Linked DNA regions of Cricetulus griseus. The protein of the gene in region 2 purifies or fractionates together with the protein of the main gene of each other region. This does not show direct contact. Links are inferred from orthologs where the notes say so. Each region holds a gene or a part of one and is shown on either strand. Other genes may lie near its edges.

What was found. The genes of interacting proteins can lie anywhere in the genome.
Region 1: the proteins of Abi1 (region 2) and epidermal growth factor receptor kinase substrate 8-like protein 1 purify together in Homo sapiens (co-immunoprecipitation; 4 studies listed by BioGRID and IntAct, with this or other methods). This does not show direct contact. The link is inferred for Cricetulus griseus from reciprocal best matches to the Homo sapiens genes ABI1 and EPS8L1.
Region 3: the proteins of Abi1 (region 2) and Cyfip2 purify together in Homo sapiens (co-immunoprecipitation; 4 studies listed by BioGRID and IntAct, with this or other methods). This does not show direct contact. The link is inferred for Cricetulus griseus from reciprocal best matches to the Homo sapiens genes ABI1 and CYFIP2.
Region 4: the proteins of Abi1 (region 2) and Wasf1 purify together in Homo sapiens (affinity purification with mass spectrometry; 6 studies listed by BioGRID and IntAct, with this or other methods). This does not show direct contact. The link is inferred for Cricetulus griseus from reciprocal best matches to the Homo sapiens genes ABI1 and WASF1.

The regions. Positions count from the first base shown.
Region 1 is NC_048602.1:23,143,755-23,147,908, forward strand, and holds the start of epidermal growth factor receptor kinase substrate 8-like protein 1, read left to right. Parts: upstream 1-1,354; coding exon 1,355-1,371; intron 1,372-4,154. UniProt on the Homo sapiens protein: Stimulates guanine exchange activity of SOS1. May play a role in membrane ruffling and remodeling of the actin cytoskeleton.
Region 2 is NC_048596.1:211,226,103-211,229,602, forward strand, and holds part of Abi1 (abl interactor 1), read left to right. Parts: intron 1-2,837; coding exon 2,838-2,938; intron 2,939-3,500. UniProt on the Homo sapiens protein: May act in negative regulation of cell growth and transformation by interacting with nonreceptor tyrosine kinases ABL1 and/or ABL2. May play a role in regulation of EGF-induced Erk pathway activation. Involved in cytoskeletal reorganization and EGFR signaling.
Region 3 is NC_048600.1:60,846,627-60,850,796, reverse strand, and holds the start of Cyfip2 (cytoplasmic FMR1-interacting protein 2), read left to right. Parts: upstream 1-1,370; coding exon 1,371-1,487; intron 1,488-3,282; coding exon 3,283-3,372; intron 3,373-4,170. UniProt on the Homo sapiens protein: Involved in T-cell adhesion and p53/TP53-dependent induction of apoptosis. Does not bind RNA. As component of the WAVE1 complex, required for BDNF-NTRK2 endocytic trafficking and signaling from early endosomes.
Region 4 is NC_048595.1:263,394,716-263,398,926, forward strand, and holds the start of Wasf1 (wiskott-Aldrich syndrome protein family member 1), read left to right. Parts: upstream 1-1,411; 5' UTR 1,412-1,970; intron 1,971-4,211. Other genes in the region: Cdc40 (pre-mRNA-processing factor 17), read right to left, coding at 784-972.

The sequences.
Region 1 (4,154 bases), on a different chromosome or scaffold from region 2:
GATTTGGGGACACAGCAGCATGAGGAGCTGTGTTAAAGGGTGGCATGAGATAAGTCTTCACCCTCAGCTCCACGGGGGATGATTGAAGGAAACCTTCCAAGGAAGATAGATGCAGGCAGGTGGAGTCTGGAGCCAGGGAAAAAGCCAACTGTGGCTAGGTGTCCCGCGAGCCAGGACACATGCTGGCCCCGGAGACACAGTCATATTTGATCTCCTGTTACACACACACACACACACACACACACACACACACACACACACACACACGGTGACAGAGCTATATGAACAAGTGACCCAACCACTCCACACCTTAACTTCCTCACTGGTCAATAGGAAATCTACCCCACCCCACCCCCAGGGCCTCCGAGGACTCTCAGACATATTTGAGGAGGAGCTTTTCACTCAGGTGTGTGACAGCAAATTGTTGTTGTTATTAGTCTGTTGTTACAACGGAAACACACATGATTTCCGGGATCCCCTGCGGGCCAACCCAGCCCCCGCTCACACGCACGCACTTGAGACTGTGTGCCAGCCCCGCCCCTGAGGCACCTCGGGCCAGCAGTGCCAGGTGAGCGCTCAGGTATGCCGGTGCCTGTGCAAGGCCTGGGAGGAGGCAGGAGGAGGAGTCCGGACTACAAGGGAGGGAGAAGCTGAGAGCCAGACAGAACCAGCAGGCAGGTGAGGAGGCCAGACCCCGGAGAGAGGGAGGAGGGAGACCTGGGGGCTGGATACCTGGACCTGAGGGACCAGAGCTGGAGCCTGGACCCCTGGGTCTGAGGGAGCAGAGCTTGGGTCCCTGGGTATGAGGGAAGAGAGCTGAGGTCTAGACTCTTAGATAGGAGATAAGTCTTAGAAGACTTATCTCCTGCACCCCCAGATCTCAGCAAGGAGGCTTGGAGGCTAGAGTCTTGCATCTGAGAGATAAGGTCCGCCCTGGACCCCTGGGTCTGAACCAGGAGGTCTGAGGTCTAGACTCTTGTATCTGAGGGATAATGTTCTCTCTGGCCCCCTGAATCTGAGGGGAAACGGCTGGGGCTTGGTAATCTGGGTATGAGAAAGGAGCAGACTGGGGAGGTCTGGACTTGAGGGTCTCTTCAGGAAGAGAGTGGAGCCTACCTAGACTCCTAAGGAAAGAGGTCCCCTGGGTGAAGGGGAAACGTCAAGTCTTAATTCCTGGGCCTGAAGCAGGGATCCCTGGGTCCAAAGCAGCCAGGCTGGGGCCTGGGCAACTAGGTCTGAGGGAGGAAGGAGGGTTGAGCCAGGGTCAAGTCACCGAGCCAAGTCAGTGACTCACGTCTTTGCCGGCTCTCAAGGCACCTACCTCCAGGTGGACAGAGCACCTCATCCTGCCACCATGAACACCACCACGGGGTAAGTGGCCCCTGTGCCCCGCCAGCCCTCGCCCCTCCAACCCTTCCCCCACACCTGCCGATCCTGTTTCTACAACCCAGGCTCTACACACTGGGAGGAATGCTCCCCTCCCTGCCCAGCCTGTGGTCAGGCACAGACAGAAGGGCTTTGGTTGGAATATGCATAGCGTGTCACAGTGTGGCATGCCACCGCCTGGAACCCAGCCCCTCCCCTGGATAAATGGGAATGGGGACCTATTTTGAGAGCTGACAGGACTCAGCCAGCTGTTTGGCCATTCCCGCAGTAGGCACTCGGGCCTTTGGGAACTGTCATTTCTCTCCCATCCTGATCTTAGTATTAAACATCGGCCCTCTGCTAGAAAAGCATGAGGACAGTGCAGACTCGAATCTCCCGGAGAGAGTGGGCAGGAAGACAAAGGGGGTAGAAACGAAACCATTGAGTAGAGACATGCCACAAGCAGGATCCAGGTAAACGGCAGGAGTCTCACTAAACCTGACTGCCTGCCTAGCTCTGGCCCGCTGTTATTCTCATAGAAAGGGGGATTTAAGAAATTACAGGGGGAGGGGTGGCTGAGCAAGGAGAGTGCTTGCCTAGCATGTGTGAAACACGGGGGTCTAATCCACTGCACCGATACAACGTTAATCCCAGCACTCAAGGGGCAGAGGCAGAGGCTGGCAGAGCTCTGCAAGTTCAAGGCCAGCCTGGTGTACATAGCAAGTTCTGGGCCAGCTAGGGATCCGTAGTGAGGCCCTGTTTCAAAACACATCTAAATAAATTAACCAGTCTGAGCCGGGCGTTGGTGGCCCACGCCTTGAATCCCAGCACTCGGGAGGCAGAGGCAGGCGGATCCCTGCGAGTTCGAGGCCAGCCTGGTCTCCAGAGCGAGTTCCAGGACAGGCTCCAAAGCTACACAGAGAAACCCTGTCTCAAAAAACCAAAAAATAAAAATAAAAAATAATCAGTCTGGAGGATTATGCCTATATTCCAGTACTGAGGATATGAAAAGGCAGGAATATCAGGAGTTCAAAGTCATCTTCAACTTTGGGACCAGCCTGGCCTGCATGTGACTGTCTCAACAAAAGAGAATTATTGCAAGTGGTAATTTTTAAAAAAAAAACTTTATTTACTTATTATGCATACAGTTATCTGCATGCATGCTTGCACACCAGATCTCATTACAGATGGCTGTGAACCACCATGTGGTTGCTGGGTATTGAACTCAGGACCTCTGGAAGAGCAGCCAATGCTCTTAACCTCTGAGCCATCTCTCCAGCCCTGCAAGTGGTAATTTTAAGAGGAGACTGAAGACACTTGCCTGGGAAGACTTGAACCATGGCACGAGGGAAAGGAGATAATTCCAAGCGTACTCTGGCTACTGAAAGTCGTTGTATCAATTCCCATTTATCCTTGGTTGGGAGACTAGCCTTTCACGGCTGAGCCATCTCTCCAGCCCTCAATTCCCATTTATTGAGCAACCACTGTGTGCTAAACCCTGACCAAAATCAGATTATTAATCATTACTGAGACTAAAAAAATATTTCACCTACTGGGCTGAATTTATACAACGACGACACCAGGTAGACACTGATATGTTACAGGAAGGGAAACTGCAGTTGGAAAGATTAAGTCCCCTTACCAGGGTCTTGTCAGGGTGTTTTTTTTTTTTTGTAGGTTTATTTTTATTTATGTCTGTCTGTCTGTCTGTCTGTCTGTCTGTCTGTCTGTGTGTTTGTGCACATGAGTGTGGTGCCTGCAGAGGTCAGAAGAGAGCGTTGCATCTCCTGGAGCTGGAGTTGCAGGCAGTTGTGAGCTGCCTGACGTATGTGTTGGGAACTGAACTGCTCAGCCATCTCTCCAGCCCCGAGGTCTTAGTTGTTTGTGTTAGTTGGGGTTTTGTTTTGTTTTCTGTTGTTTGTTCTGTTTACAGGATCTTGCTCTTGTTTTTATATTTCAAGACAGGGTCTCACTATGTAGCCCAGGCTGGCCTCAAACATATAGAAATCTCTGTCTCCTGAGTGTGTACTGGGATGACGAGTGTGCACCAATCACGCCAGACTCTGCTCTTTATCTCTGTGTTGGTCAATGTTCTCTATAGGGACAGGACTGGTAGAATGGACACACACACACACACACACACACACACACACACACACACGCGCGCGCGCACGACTTATTGGAATGGCTTACAGGCTGTGGTCTGGGTAGCCCAACAATGCTGTCTCATGACAGAAGGGCCAAGAATCCAGTCCATGTTCAGTTTCCAAGGCCCGATTTGTGAGCAGTCCCAGTCTGGTGCTGGAGTCCCAGGAATTCCTAGAGAGCCGCTGGTCTTTGCTCTACATTGGAATCCCAAAGAAGTGTGTTCTAATATCAGTGAAGGAATGCCTCAGTGACAGGATAGACGAGCCTGCCAGAGAGAGTTCGGGCAAGCAGGCAAAAAGCAGGAGTTTTCTACTTCCCTGTCCTGGGTGGGATCCAGGGTTAGGATGGGTCTCCCCACCTCAAATGATCCTACTGAGAAAATCCCTCATAGGCATGCCCAGATTTGAGTTGACTCCAGTTGTAGTCAAGTTGACAGCCAGAATTAGCCAGCAGTCTTTTTTTAGTTGTATATGTCCCTCTGTCCTTCCCTCTGCCTGTGTGTGTGTGTGTGTGTGTGTGTGTGTGTGTGTGTGTGTGTATTTCTGTGTCTGTCTGTCTCTCTGTCTCTATCTGTGTCTCTTTCTATCTCTATGTGAGTCTCTGTGCGTCTATCTGTCTCTGTCTGTGTGTCTGTCTTTTTG
Region 2 (3,500 bases):
TTAGACAAAAGGTTAAATGTCATAGAAGTTCCGTGGCTCAGTTGGACCCTGAGAGATCAGAGGAAGAACACTTAACTTGTTTCTGGACAGCGCTGGTAAACTAGGGTGTGTTAAAAATCCTCTAGAGAACAGCTGCCCAATGGGCTTTATGAAGGATCTACCTTGGCTGCTGAATTAATTACAGGGTCAGAGTATGTTTTTTCCAAAGTGGAATCTTATTCAACCACTAGTTATTTAGAATGACTTTATTAAATACCAGTCGGTAACATATAAAACATAGTATTGTTGATTTTTCCAGATGCTCATTGTGTTGAAATACAAACATCTTTTTTTAAAAAGAAATTTAGAAATGTATCCTAGAAATGTCATTATGTCAGGATTTATGGGTTACTTAAGCACTGTTGCAAATATATTGACATGGCAGACAATATGTAAATGAATCAGCATGGCCATGGCCTAGTAAAATTTTACTTATGGTACTAAAATTTGAATTTCATATAATTTTAATGTTTTCAAAAATATCATTCCTCTTTTGAGTTTTCCCTCACTATTTAGGGGGGAAAAAGTTAGCTCATAGGCAAAATTTGGGCTTTTGTCCAGTTTTAGCTCACAGGGTATACTTTGCTACTACTTACCCTGTGTTACATAAGAAACACTGAAGTCAGGAATTGCAGAAGAGCTTAAATGTACATATATTCCTAGGTCTGACACAAAGCTGAATATTGAGTTCCTGGCTTGAACGAGTTGAGAATCTCATTTAAGCTAGTTTGTTCTGTCAGTGGATTTTTTTTTTTTTTTTTTTTTTTGGTTTTTCGAGACAGGGTTTCTTTGTGTAGTTTTAGAGCCTGTCCTGGCACTCGCTCTGGAGACCAGGCTGGCCTGGAACTCACAGAGATCCGCCTGCCTCTGCCTCCCGGCTATCAGTGGATTTTTAAATGTATTTTATTACAATGTGATTATCCAGTTGTAAATTGATTATATTGGAGAGTAAAATAATCTTACCGAGGCACTATAAATCTTTGCCTTCTTGGGTTTGTGGGCATACTGATCAAACCATATTGGTTTTGAAATATAGTATGAGCCAGGCACTGTGGTGGTGCGCATTTGGAAGGCAGTGGCTGGAGGATCCTTTGAGATTAGAAGTTTGAAATTAGCCTAGGCAACATAGTGAGGGGCAGGTGTGCTAGTCTCAGCTAGGACAGACTCTTGGCTCCGAGGGAGTTCCAGAGAGTTTATCAGTAGCAGCTATTCTAGTCTGTGAAACCTTGAAACTTTGTTCTGTTGTTGCTGTGTTAGGCTCATTGTCTTACTGTTCTATTGCTGTGAAGAGATGCCATGACCAGCATGGCATGGGAACTCTTATAAAGGAAAGCATTTAATTGAGGCTTGCTCGGAGTTTTAGAGGTTTAGTTCTCTAAACCTCTAAATTATCATCATGGGAGCGTGGCAGCATGCAGGTAGACATGTGCTGGAGAAGGAGCCGAGAGTTCTATATTCGATCCATAAGCAGCAGGAAGAAAGAGATACTGGGTTTGGCAACCTCAGAGTCTACTCCCAGTGACACACTCCAACAAGGCCATTCCTATCTCCAACAAGGCCCCTTTAACCCTTCTCAAGAAGTGCCACTCCCTGATGACTAAGCAATCAAATTTGTGGGCCTGTGGGGGCCATTCTTATTCAAACCACCACACTCATTTTCCAGAAAATTTCTTATCACCTTTCTTAAATTTGCTTTTATATATTATATTTTGTTGTCTTTGTTTGTTTGCTTGTTTCTGAGGCAAGGTCTCACTATGTAGCCCTGGCTGGCCTGGAACTTGCTTTGTAGACCAGGCCTCAAACTCATAGAGATCCTTCTGCCTCTGCCTTCCCGGTACCGGGTTTAAAGCCGTGCATCCATGTGCCCAGCCCAGCTTGTTTATGTTTGGGAAACATGGTTTTGCTATGTAGTCCAGACTGACTTAGAAATTGTAAAACTTCATCAGTCTCCTGGATGCAGGTATTATAGGTATGTGCCACCATGCCTGTTTCACTTTTCTATAGGTAGAGATTGTGATACTGGTTTTCATTCCCAGTGTCCTGTACATTCCTTTTTGTATGTACAAAATCTGTCACACTAATTTTTGAGTTTGTGTTCTTATGTTCTGCTGTTGAGTTCTGTTCACTGTTCTTTTCTGAGGAAGGAGGAGGAGAAATAAGAGCCTGACTATGTACTCCAGGTGCTTTTAGACCTCGAACCTCTAGCCAATGATGAAAGCCGTGTGTGCTACCACAACAGGTTCTTTATTGTTAACCACATTAAGGTTTAAGTAGACACTTGTAACTCTATGTACTGTGAGGCTTTAATGCTCATACATTTTTAAAAGATTATTATTACCATATTAAGACAAGGTCTCATTATGTAGTCCTGACTGGCCTCGAGCTCACAAAGATCCACCTGCCTCTGCCTTCAAAGTGCTGAGACTAAAGGTCAGGTGGGATTTTGAGTACTTTTATATATTGGTTTCAGGATTTTAGAAGAACAGTGAAACACAAGAACAGTTTTAAGTATTAGGGTAAAGTTTTATAACCAAGTTAAAATGAATTTTTAGTACACCCAGTTTATGATTGTTTTTTTTTAAATCAATTTTTTTTTTTTTTTTTTTTCCAGACAGGGTTTCTCTGGGTAGCTTTGGAGCCTATCCTGGCACTCGCTCTAGAGACCAGGTTGGCCTCGAACTCACAGAGATCCGACTGCCTCTGCCTCCCAAGTGCTGGGATTAAAGGCATGTGTCACCACCACCTGGTTTAAAATCAATTTTTAAAAATGACCTTTCAAATGCTTCTGTTCTTTGTAGTGGAAGTAGTGGAGGAAGTGGAAGCCGAGAAAACAGTGGGAGCAGTAGTATTGGCATTCCCATTGCTGTGCCTACGCCTTCACCTCCCACTGCCGGCCCAGGTATGTTGTTCAGTACTCTCAGGGTTAGTGTGTGATACTTGTTAACTTTGTAAGGGAAGCTAAAATAACTGATTCATTTTGGCTAAAAATTATTTACTGGATTGTGGCTATAGCTATAATAAAGGCTAATTAATAACAAGTATATTTTTAGATTAATTTTCACAAACTTGGGGTTTTATCAGCTGTATGTATATGATACAGAGAAATAGTTTTGTTAGGTCAGTTTTTAGCCATTTTGCTTTTAGCTATACTTGTCTTTGTAAATAGTTAAGATTGATGTTTATTATTTCAAAAGCAAATCAATATTGTATATTTCATTTAGAAGGTCAGTATTGCTAAACTAATGTATTTGTGACTTTCTTATTTATATATGAGAATCAGCACCTATTTTAGTGAAATGCAGTGACTGTAAGATGAGATTTAAAAATAGGAAAACTTATTTTACCTTTTTAGAAAGTAAAGGCATTCTGGGAGAACATTCGGTTAACACTTTGGAGTTTAGTCAGTAAAATGGAGACTTTTTTTGAGATAAATTATTTCTGTGTAGTCCAGGCTGTCCAGA
Region 3 (4,170 bases), on a different chromosome or scaffold from region 2:
TGTGTGTGTGTGTGTGTGTGTGTGTGTGTGTGTAAGAGGACACTAGATTCCCTAAGTAATTACCATTTCTGTTTGAATCACTCCATAGTTGTGAGTAGTTTTGTGGGCTTATAAGTTTTCAAAGGAGTGATTTGGGGGATTCTAATCTGCACTGTTGATGCTCTCACCATGTTGTTGGTTTTGTTTCACTTGGGGGGATGCAGTTTGAGATCAGTCTCACTTTGTAACCAGACAGGCCTTCAACTTGCTATGTAACCCAAACTAGCCTCAAAGTCATTGAGTCCTCTGCCTCAGTCTCCTAAGTGCTAGGATTGCATGCAAGCATCACCACACCTGATTTAGCATATCATTTTTGGAGGCTACTTGTGGGAACCCAATTTATACACTAAATCATACATTATAAGTCTTTAATTTCGCATGTAATTTGGGGTTTACAAAATGAATCTTCTGCTTGCACAGTGCTGTGTTCTTAAAATAGCAACTAACTTGAGTTGGTTAACTGCCCTGCTCAGTCCTTTCTGCTTCACTGCCTTGCAGTTTCCCTCCAACCAGCCGCATTCTGCCTGGGTTCAAGACACAGAAATATCTATTAAGGGCTGATTGCTTTGGCGTGATTCATAAAATGTCCTCAGACCAAGGGACACACTGCAGCTTCACCATTGCTTCAAGCAGGCTGGTTTGCAGGAGTTGACAACTGTACAGACCCTGCTTAACTAGCCTATAAAATCTAGGTGTAGGTCTCCTTGGTTGTCCTGGCTGTTCAGTCATGGATATTTATCCTGTACCGGTATCTAAGAAAGGAACTGATGAATGTCCTTATGACAGGAGGCCTGTGTCCCCATGCCCAGCATCAATCCAGATTCTTTACCCTTGCTTACTTGACTGTGTGGGTGTCACATTACTTCTCAGAGCTGTGTTTCTTTACTGCTTGTGTGTTGGCAGAATCCAACTCTGCATGCCGGTAGAAAATGGTTGTGGTAAGGCTCAGCCAAGATATTTATTATTTATGTGTGTTCATGATGTGGTATTGTGGCATTTCATGTTAAGGTGGGTGTGTGCAGGTCAGAGGACAACTTGGGGGAATCTTTTCTCTCCTTTCACCATGTGTGGGTCCCAGGGATGGAACTCTGGGTCATCTGGCTTAGCGGCAAGTGCTTTACCCACTGAGCCATCTCACCAGCCCTGATCCTCAAATTTTAAAGGTGTAGATAGAAGACATCTGTGAGAGTAGCCTACATGACTCTTAACCCTCTCCACTCTCCACACGGAGTTTGGATAGGGTGAGGCCAAAGGAAATATTTGGAGGACCCTGAAATTCTCCCTTGTCCTTTTCTTCCTCCCTATCAGCGTGGAAGACAGACACCGCAGTCATGACCACCCACGTCACTTTGGAAGATGCCCTGTCCAATGTGGACCTGCTGGAGGAACTGCCCCTCCCAGACCAGCAGCCATGCATCGAGCCCCCGCCATCCTCCATCATGTACCAGGTAATGGAAATGGCAGCATGCAATGGAGAAACCTAGATTCTAGAGTTCCTCTAAGAGGACCTGCCCTGGAGTGTAGGGAAGGTGAAAGGGCAGGAGCTGATGGATCTCCTATGCACTATAAGAACCCAGCAGAAGGAATAGATTAACTAATAAATGTGTGCCAGGTTCATGTCCCTCCCCTAGGGAGCGTTTGTTGATCTGTTCTAACCCTAAATTCCTTCTGGGCTGTTCCTGTTGTTGCATCACCCAGGTTATGGCATCCCTAAGCTCATGAATTAAATATCACAATTTGGAAGCCTCTGGAGCCTGCCTGGATAATTGCTTTTCCTGAATATGTATGGCAAGAGCTCACACAAGTCCACACAGCAGCCAGTGGCTCAGGGAAGTGGATCACAGTTATTTGCTTTGGCCCTAAATCAGATCTGGTGATAAGCCACCATCCCATTACACAGAGCTATGACCCTGGCAGGCCTAGTGAGGAGGGCATCCATGCACCTGGAAGCAGCCTGGCCAAAGCCCCTTGTCTGGGTGTACCAGGCTGAATGCCATGTTAAAAAGGAATGTGTTAGTTTGGAAATTGGGGCTGTATTAGACCTTTTTGATAAGTCTTGGATGGTGAACTATGACTAAGTATAATTCTATGTTTTTCATTTCACTCAATAGTTAAATGAATCTTCACATACTTGAATATTCAGTTCCTAAATCTGATGTATTTGTAGATTTTAACACAGATTACAATTTTAATTATATAAGTATATATTGATTTTAGTTTTATAGGGAAACATTTTCATCATTAACAAAATGGAAAAGTACAGCATGGAAATAAATGTCTTATACTGATATACCCTTCTCTGTATACATAGGCATTTTGTTTTAGTAGATATATATGGTATATGAACTATTTCTTTTACTAAAAACAGGAATTCATGATATGTATTTAAATGTAAATATAGAAAAACTGTCCTGATTCATCTTTTCCTTAACATTTATTGTGGAGCCAGGCGTGGTGGCTCACAGATGTAATCCCAGCATTCTGGAAGCTGGGGAAAAAGGATTGCGGTGAGTCCGAGGCTAGCCTGGGCTACAGAAAGAGCCTCTGTCTCAAAAATCACAGCAGCAAACACTTCTATGGATATCGTTGGACATCAGTGCTGTGGTAATGCCACCTTACGTTCAAGCAGCTCATGCTTCTTCCAGCCCATTGTACAGAAAGACTGTCATCTACTTCAGCTTTTGCTGGCTGGTTTCATTGTTTCCAGGTGGTTGTTTCATTGTAAAAACTGTGTGCTGGCTGACACAGCTACATCTGCGCACCCTCAGGCACCCTGAGGCACGTGTGTATGAATGGCTGGATCAAAGCCATGCACACCTTGACTTTTAGCAGCTGTTTGGACTTGCATAGTTTGCTGGAAGTATGCTTTCCTTGTGCTGGGGCTTTTATTCATCACAACAAGCATATAAACCAGATTAATTTTAAGGCACTTTTCACAAGAATAAATTGGCCAAGTTTATTAGTTAATCCCAACTAACTGGAATTAAAAAGAGTCAATTCGGAATTAAACATTTACTTCTGAGGCTTGGTTGAGCGAAACCGGTCACCTGTGAAAAATAGGTGCTGCCCATTGGCCCTCAGCTGATTTGAGGTGTTAAGGGGTAATATTTGAAAGCCATGGGCAGTAGATTTCCACAGAAAGCTTGTGATTTTTGTTGGTGGCTGTTCACTCCCTAGACATCCAGCCAGCTTAGATGTGTTTTCCAATAATCAAGTGCCCCCTTCTGTCCTCTACCTCGATAGGCTAACTTTGACACGAACTTCGAAGACAGGAATGCATTTGTCACGGGCATTGCAAGGTACATTGAGCAGGCAACGGTCCACTCCAGCATGGTAAGTCTCCATGACCCACATGTGCAGACTCACACCCTGCTGACGCAGGAGGAACCATGTGCAGCTCCCCACAGCAGGCCTGGGCTTAGCTACCCCAATATGCTCCGCCTTAGTGAGCTGGGTTATGGAAGTCCATTCTGGAACCCAGACCCATCCCCTCTCTATGCCTTGGGGCATACTCCATGCCTTGCTCATCTTGCTCACTGTAGGCCCATCTGAACCCCACTGCTCACTTCCCCAAGGCCAGGGCTTTTTATGTACACAGATTTGGGGATGGGGGCGGACATTGTTTGGTCACTTGACAAGGAAAAAAATATCCTTATAAAAATGACAAGTGAGGCCTGGTGGTGGTGGCACATGCCTTTAATCCCAGCACATGGAAGGCAGAGGCAGACAGAACTCTATGAGTTCGAGACCAGCCTGGTCTACAAGAGCTAGTTCCAGGGCAGCCTCCAAAGCCACAGAGAAACTCTGTCTGAAACCCCCCCCTCAAAAAAAATGGCAAGTGAGGTGGCTTTGGAAAATGTCATTTATTGATTCAAGGGAGCTGCTAGCCTAAATCATTCATAAATGGAGCCATTTGTTTTCCTTCTCAGGGTCTGACCCTAAGAGGGTGATTTCTCCTCTCTCTTTTTATCTACAGTGAAGTTTTCAGAATTCTGGGTTCCTTGTCCAAAGGCCCCCGCCCTGGACCCTTCTCACTGTGTGGATTATGTTCTAAAGACCCAACTCATTCATTGACTATTGTGTGTCTGCTGTGAGCTGATTCGAGAATTAGTCTGGGGCCAGTCTCAGTTT
Region 4 (4,211 bases), on a different chromosome or scaffold from region 2:
CTTATTCTTTACCATGGTTATTTCCCCCTCCCAGTGTTCAATCCAATCTGTAACTACATTTTTGTCCACATCTAATTGATTCCAGTATGCACTAATGCTCCCAGTATGTTCGGTTTTGTTGGCCTCTGTGGCTTTCAGTCCTGTTGTTTCTGGAAAATGATACGTGCTTAATAAAGAACTACATAGCTGGGTTTTTTCCTTTATCACCTTCCTTCATTGGGTCCATGCATGCTACTTCTTAAAGCTTATGCCCCTTTCCCACTCGTTGTATTAACATATACAATCACAAATAGCTAGCATGTATTGCCCTCTTACTAGATTATTAGGCTCTGTGTTATATAAACTTTACTATATAATTTCACTTAATCTTTACAATAACCCCCCGGTATAGGTAAGTTTTTAAACAACTATCTCCATTATACAAGAGGAAGTTGTATAATTTGCAAGTAGTGAAGCCAGGATTCGAGACTAGTTTCTTAAAAACAAAACAGTGCCTGGCCACGGCTCGCTTCTGGTGAGGGCACAAATTCTAGTTAGGAAGTCCTGATGCGCTTTTAGCTATGTTCTAAACTTCTGCTCTAATAAGACTACGTCCTAGCCTAGAATTCAAACTTTCTTCCCCTCTTGGACCACTTTTATGCGATGGAGACAGCAGAGGGGTAGTGGAGGAAGATGTGGGACGACGCGTAAACGCTAGTAATTTACTTCTCAGCACCTCACCGGAGACGAGCGGTTTGGGATCTGAAACCAATTCCCGCACCCATCAGTGACCAAAACACTTACCTTAACCGCCACCTCCGGAGCCGAATCTACCGCCACTGTCAGAGAGGGCTTGGCTGAAGGCGATTTGGTCAGGTGCATGAGAGAGTCGGCGGCTGGCAGCGGACACCGACTGCCCTCACTGTCCGAGTCCGATTCGGACCCTGAACCCGAGCCATACGAAGCAGCTAGAGCTGCAATCGCAGCGGACATGACTGCAACAGATCCTCTCTGCTGTGGTCAGGCCAGGGCGGAAGAAGCAGCGACTCCCAGGTCCTGACAGATTGCCAAGGAACACTTTATTTACCTTCTTTAACAAAAAATCATTTATAACTTCCTGAAAAAAATATAATGATTATTACTCTGACTGCATCAGTATCTGAGACTCGCAAACATTAATCTAGATAAGCACAAGGAATTACAACTACTTATAACTTTCAGGACCTCGTTGATTAAAGCCCCACAGTTCTGAGATACCTTTGAAGCCTCGAGGTCCTCCACTCCCGGCGTGCAGAGCGGTGGGAAGCGCGAGGCACCATGGGAATTGTAGTTTGGAGGGAGGAGGCGGAGCCGGGCTGAGGGGTCGGCCTTCGACCCCGCCCCCAAAGGATGGTTCATTCAATTGGATATCATCTTCCCTCATTCCCTAGCCCAGCATCGTTCTCTGCGGCCCCCTCCCCCAAAGTGCGGATTGGGCAATACCACGGAGCCTCAGGACAGGGGGAAGCTCCGTCCTCTTGCCCACGGACGAGTACGTGAGCGGAGGCTGAGTCTCCCGCCCTGCGACCCTACGCCCTGCGGGACTCAAGGGGACAGTGCGAATCTTCAGTTCGGAGACCTGGGGCCCGCCTGGCGCAGCTCCGGGGGAAGGTTGTGGGGCGAGGCGGAGAGCGCCCCGCGGCTCCCCCTGCTGCAGGCGCGGGTCCCCGCGCCCGGTTGTGGAGCGTCGCGCGGGGAGGGGGCGGCGCAGGGCAGCGGCGGCTCGCGGTGTTGTTCGCTCGCGCGTCGCGCGCACCGCGGCTCGGGCCATCAGTGGCGCCCCCGGCGGCATTCCCGGCGGCCCGGCGCCCCAGCCAGTGCCCGGCGCGGCTTCCACCCCGCGGCCCGGCGCTCCCGAGGGGCTCTCGGTGAAGTCCCAGCGCGGAGCGGGACCGGCGACCGCCGCCGAAGCATGAAGAAGGGGTAAGGCGCGAGCCCCCCACGGTTTCTCGGTGAGCACGAGTCTGTCAGGATTTTGTCCCCTTTCTTCCCCGGGTCCTGGCAGGGGAACTGCTCTCCATCGGCCGGAGCCGAGAGGGGCGTGTGTGGGAGCCCGGGTCTGCGGCCGCGGCGGCGGCGATGATGGGCGCGCCGCCCGCCCCCGCCCCCATCCCGGGCTCCCCCGCGCCCGCCGCCTAGCAGCCCGGGCTGCGCGTGGAGGACGAGGGCGCGGGTCTCGGCTGTGGGGACCAGCCCGAGGCTGCTCCGGGTGCAGCGGCGGCGGCGGCGGCGGCTCTCACCTGCGGTGCCGTGCGGTCCGGGGCGCGCGGCTCCCACCCCGCCGCCGCTTCGCCCTCGTGCCTCGGCGCCGGCCAAGGCTGCAGCCCACCGCGGAGCCCCGGCTCGCCCTGTGTGCCTGCCGCTCTGAAAAGCGAGCTCTGGCCGCGCGTCTTCGCGCCGCGGCTCCCCGTGCACGACAGCGGTAAAGCGGTAAAGCGAGTGCGGGTATCCCTTTATTTTCCCGTGTGGAAGAGAAGCGGTTGCCGTCTCTTCTGATGCCTGGGAATCGGGAGGTTCCTCGGGCAGAGTTAGGGAGATGCTCGCCGGGCTCTGATGTCGGCAGGACTCGCCCATTGTGCCACCCAGATAATTATTCAACTATGCAGCATCCATTGCACCTTTCCCATTTTTCTTTTCCCCTAGCTACAGCATGCCCCCTAGCTTCCGTACTCCGACACCTTCTCTTGCACTTGCGGATGATGAACTAGAATAATGGTGAAAAGAGAGCTCATCCGATCCGAACATTCACGATCTGCCCTGTGACCGACTAATTGATTAATACCTAGCTAGAATAGGTATTTGAATACTACTCATTCTGACCTTATCCTTGACTATACGAAATGTGCCTGAGGCTCTAATTACATCTTTTTCTTGATGTTCACAAATTAGCGAAGTCTTGTTTCTGTTCAGTAATCGTTGTGATTAATTTTCAATAGTTGTTTAGTCCATTGATGTTTATAAATTTAATTTGGTAAACTTTAACTTTTCTAATTGCTGATATCGGCGTAACACAATTAACAAATGCAATCCCAGTTGGAACTCGAAGGAACAGTTTATCCCTGATGATCCAAGTTTCTGCTGGAAATCATTTTTATTTTGAATATTTTAATAAAGTAGTTAATACACATTTTTTGTTTTGAATAATGAAAGTTTTGTATTTCGTATTTGTGAAATTTGATTACTAATCATAGCCTTTATTTGAACGAAAGGAAGAATTTAATTTTTAAGGGGGATCTTAATCCTTAACTTACTTGGATTTTACTTCTCACTTAGCTAATTTTACAGTATATTTTATTACTGTTGCAGTTTTTTCCCTTATTCTTTTCTGACTTTTATTGTGGATGAGTAGATCCAGTTTTGCATACTCTACTTTAAGGATGAAATATGATTTTGAAAACATAAGAAACAAACATTAGTTACTTACAACTTAAGTGGTATTATTTAGAAACAAATTGTTAACTACCAGAAACATCTTTTTTTCCCTTTTTGTCATCCTTCCCATCTTTTTGTGTTTAAGTTTGTTTTGATAAAAACAGGGTTACACACAGGCAATGCAAGAGTTTGAAGGTGCATTAATAGTTTAATGGCACTTGTGAGTGGCATACATATAAATTGTTGGTGTAGAGTCATTTTTCACAAGATATTAGGCATTATTTCAGAGAAGATAGTTTCATAGTATTTTTTAACTAATTTTAAGTACTTTAATTGCTGAATCATGAAAATGCTTCAGTATGTTTTTCCATGGCACTCAAAAATGGCTGGTTTACATTTGATGTTGCTAGTGGTTTTTAATTTAGGCTTCATGCATACATACAATAATTACAGATACACTGATAAAATGACTGGTAACAAGTAGAATACTGAATTAAATTCATGAAGAGTCTAGAAAATATTGAAGGTCTTTTGGTTTAAAATTTTTGGCTAATGGAATTTATAACTGTGATCACTTGAAAGATAGGTCAGCTTTATCACTAGGGTTCATAAATGCCCATGTATTGAGAGATGGTGCATTACTGTAGTATAATACTATAGTTTTTGTTTAATTTTAAGAATATTTTAAGATATCTTTTCCAAAGGCTTAACCTTCATGTTAACAGTAGAGGATATATGTGGTTTCCTTGTTGAAAGATTAATCCCTTCCTTTTCACAGCAAAAACTACTATTGAAAGACTATATCCTTACAGTCTTTACTT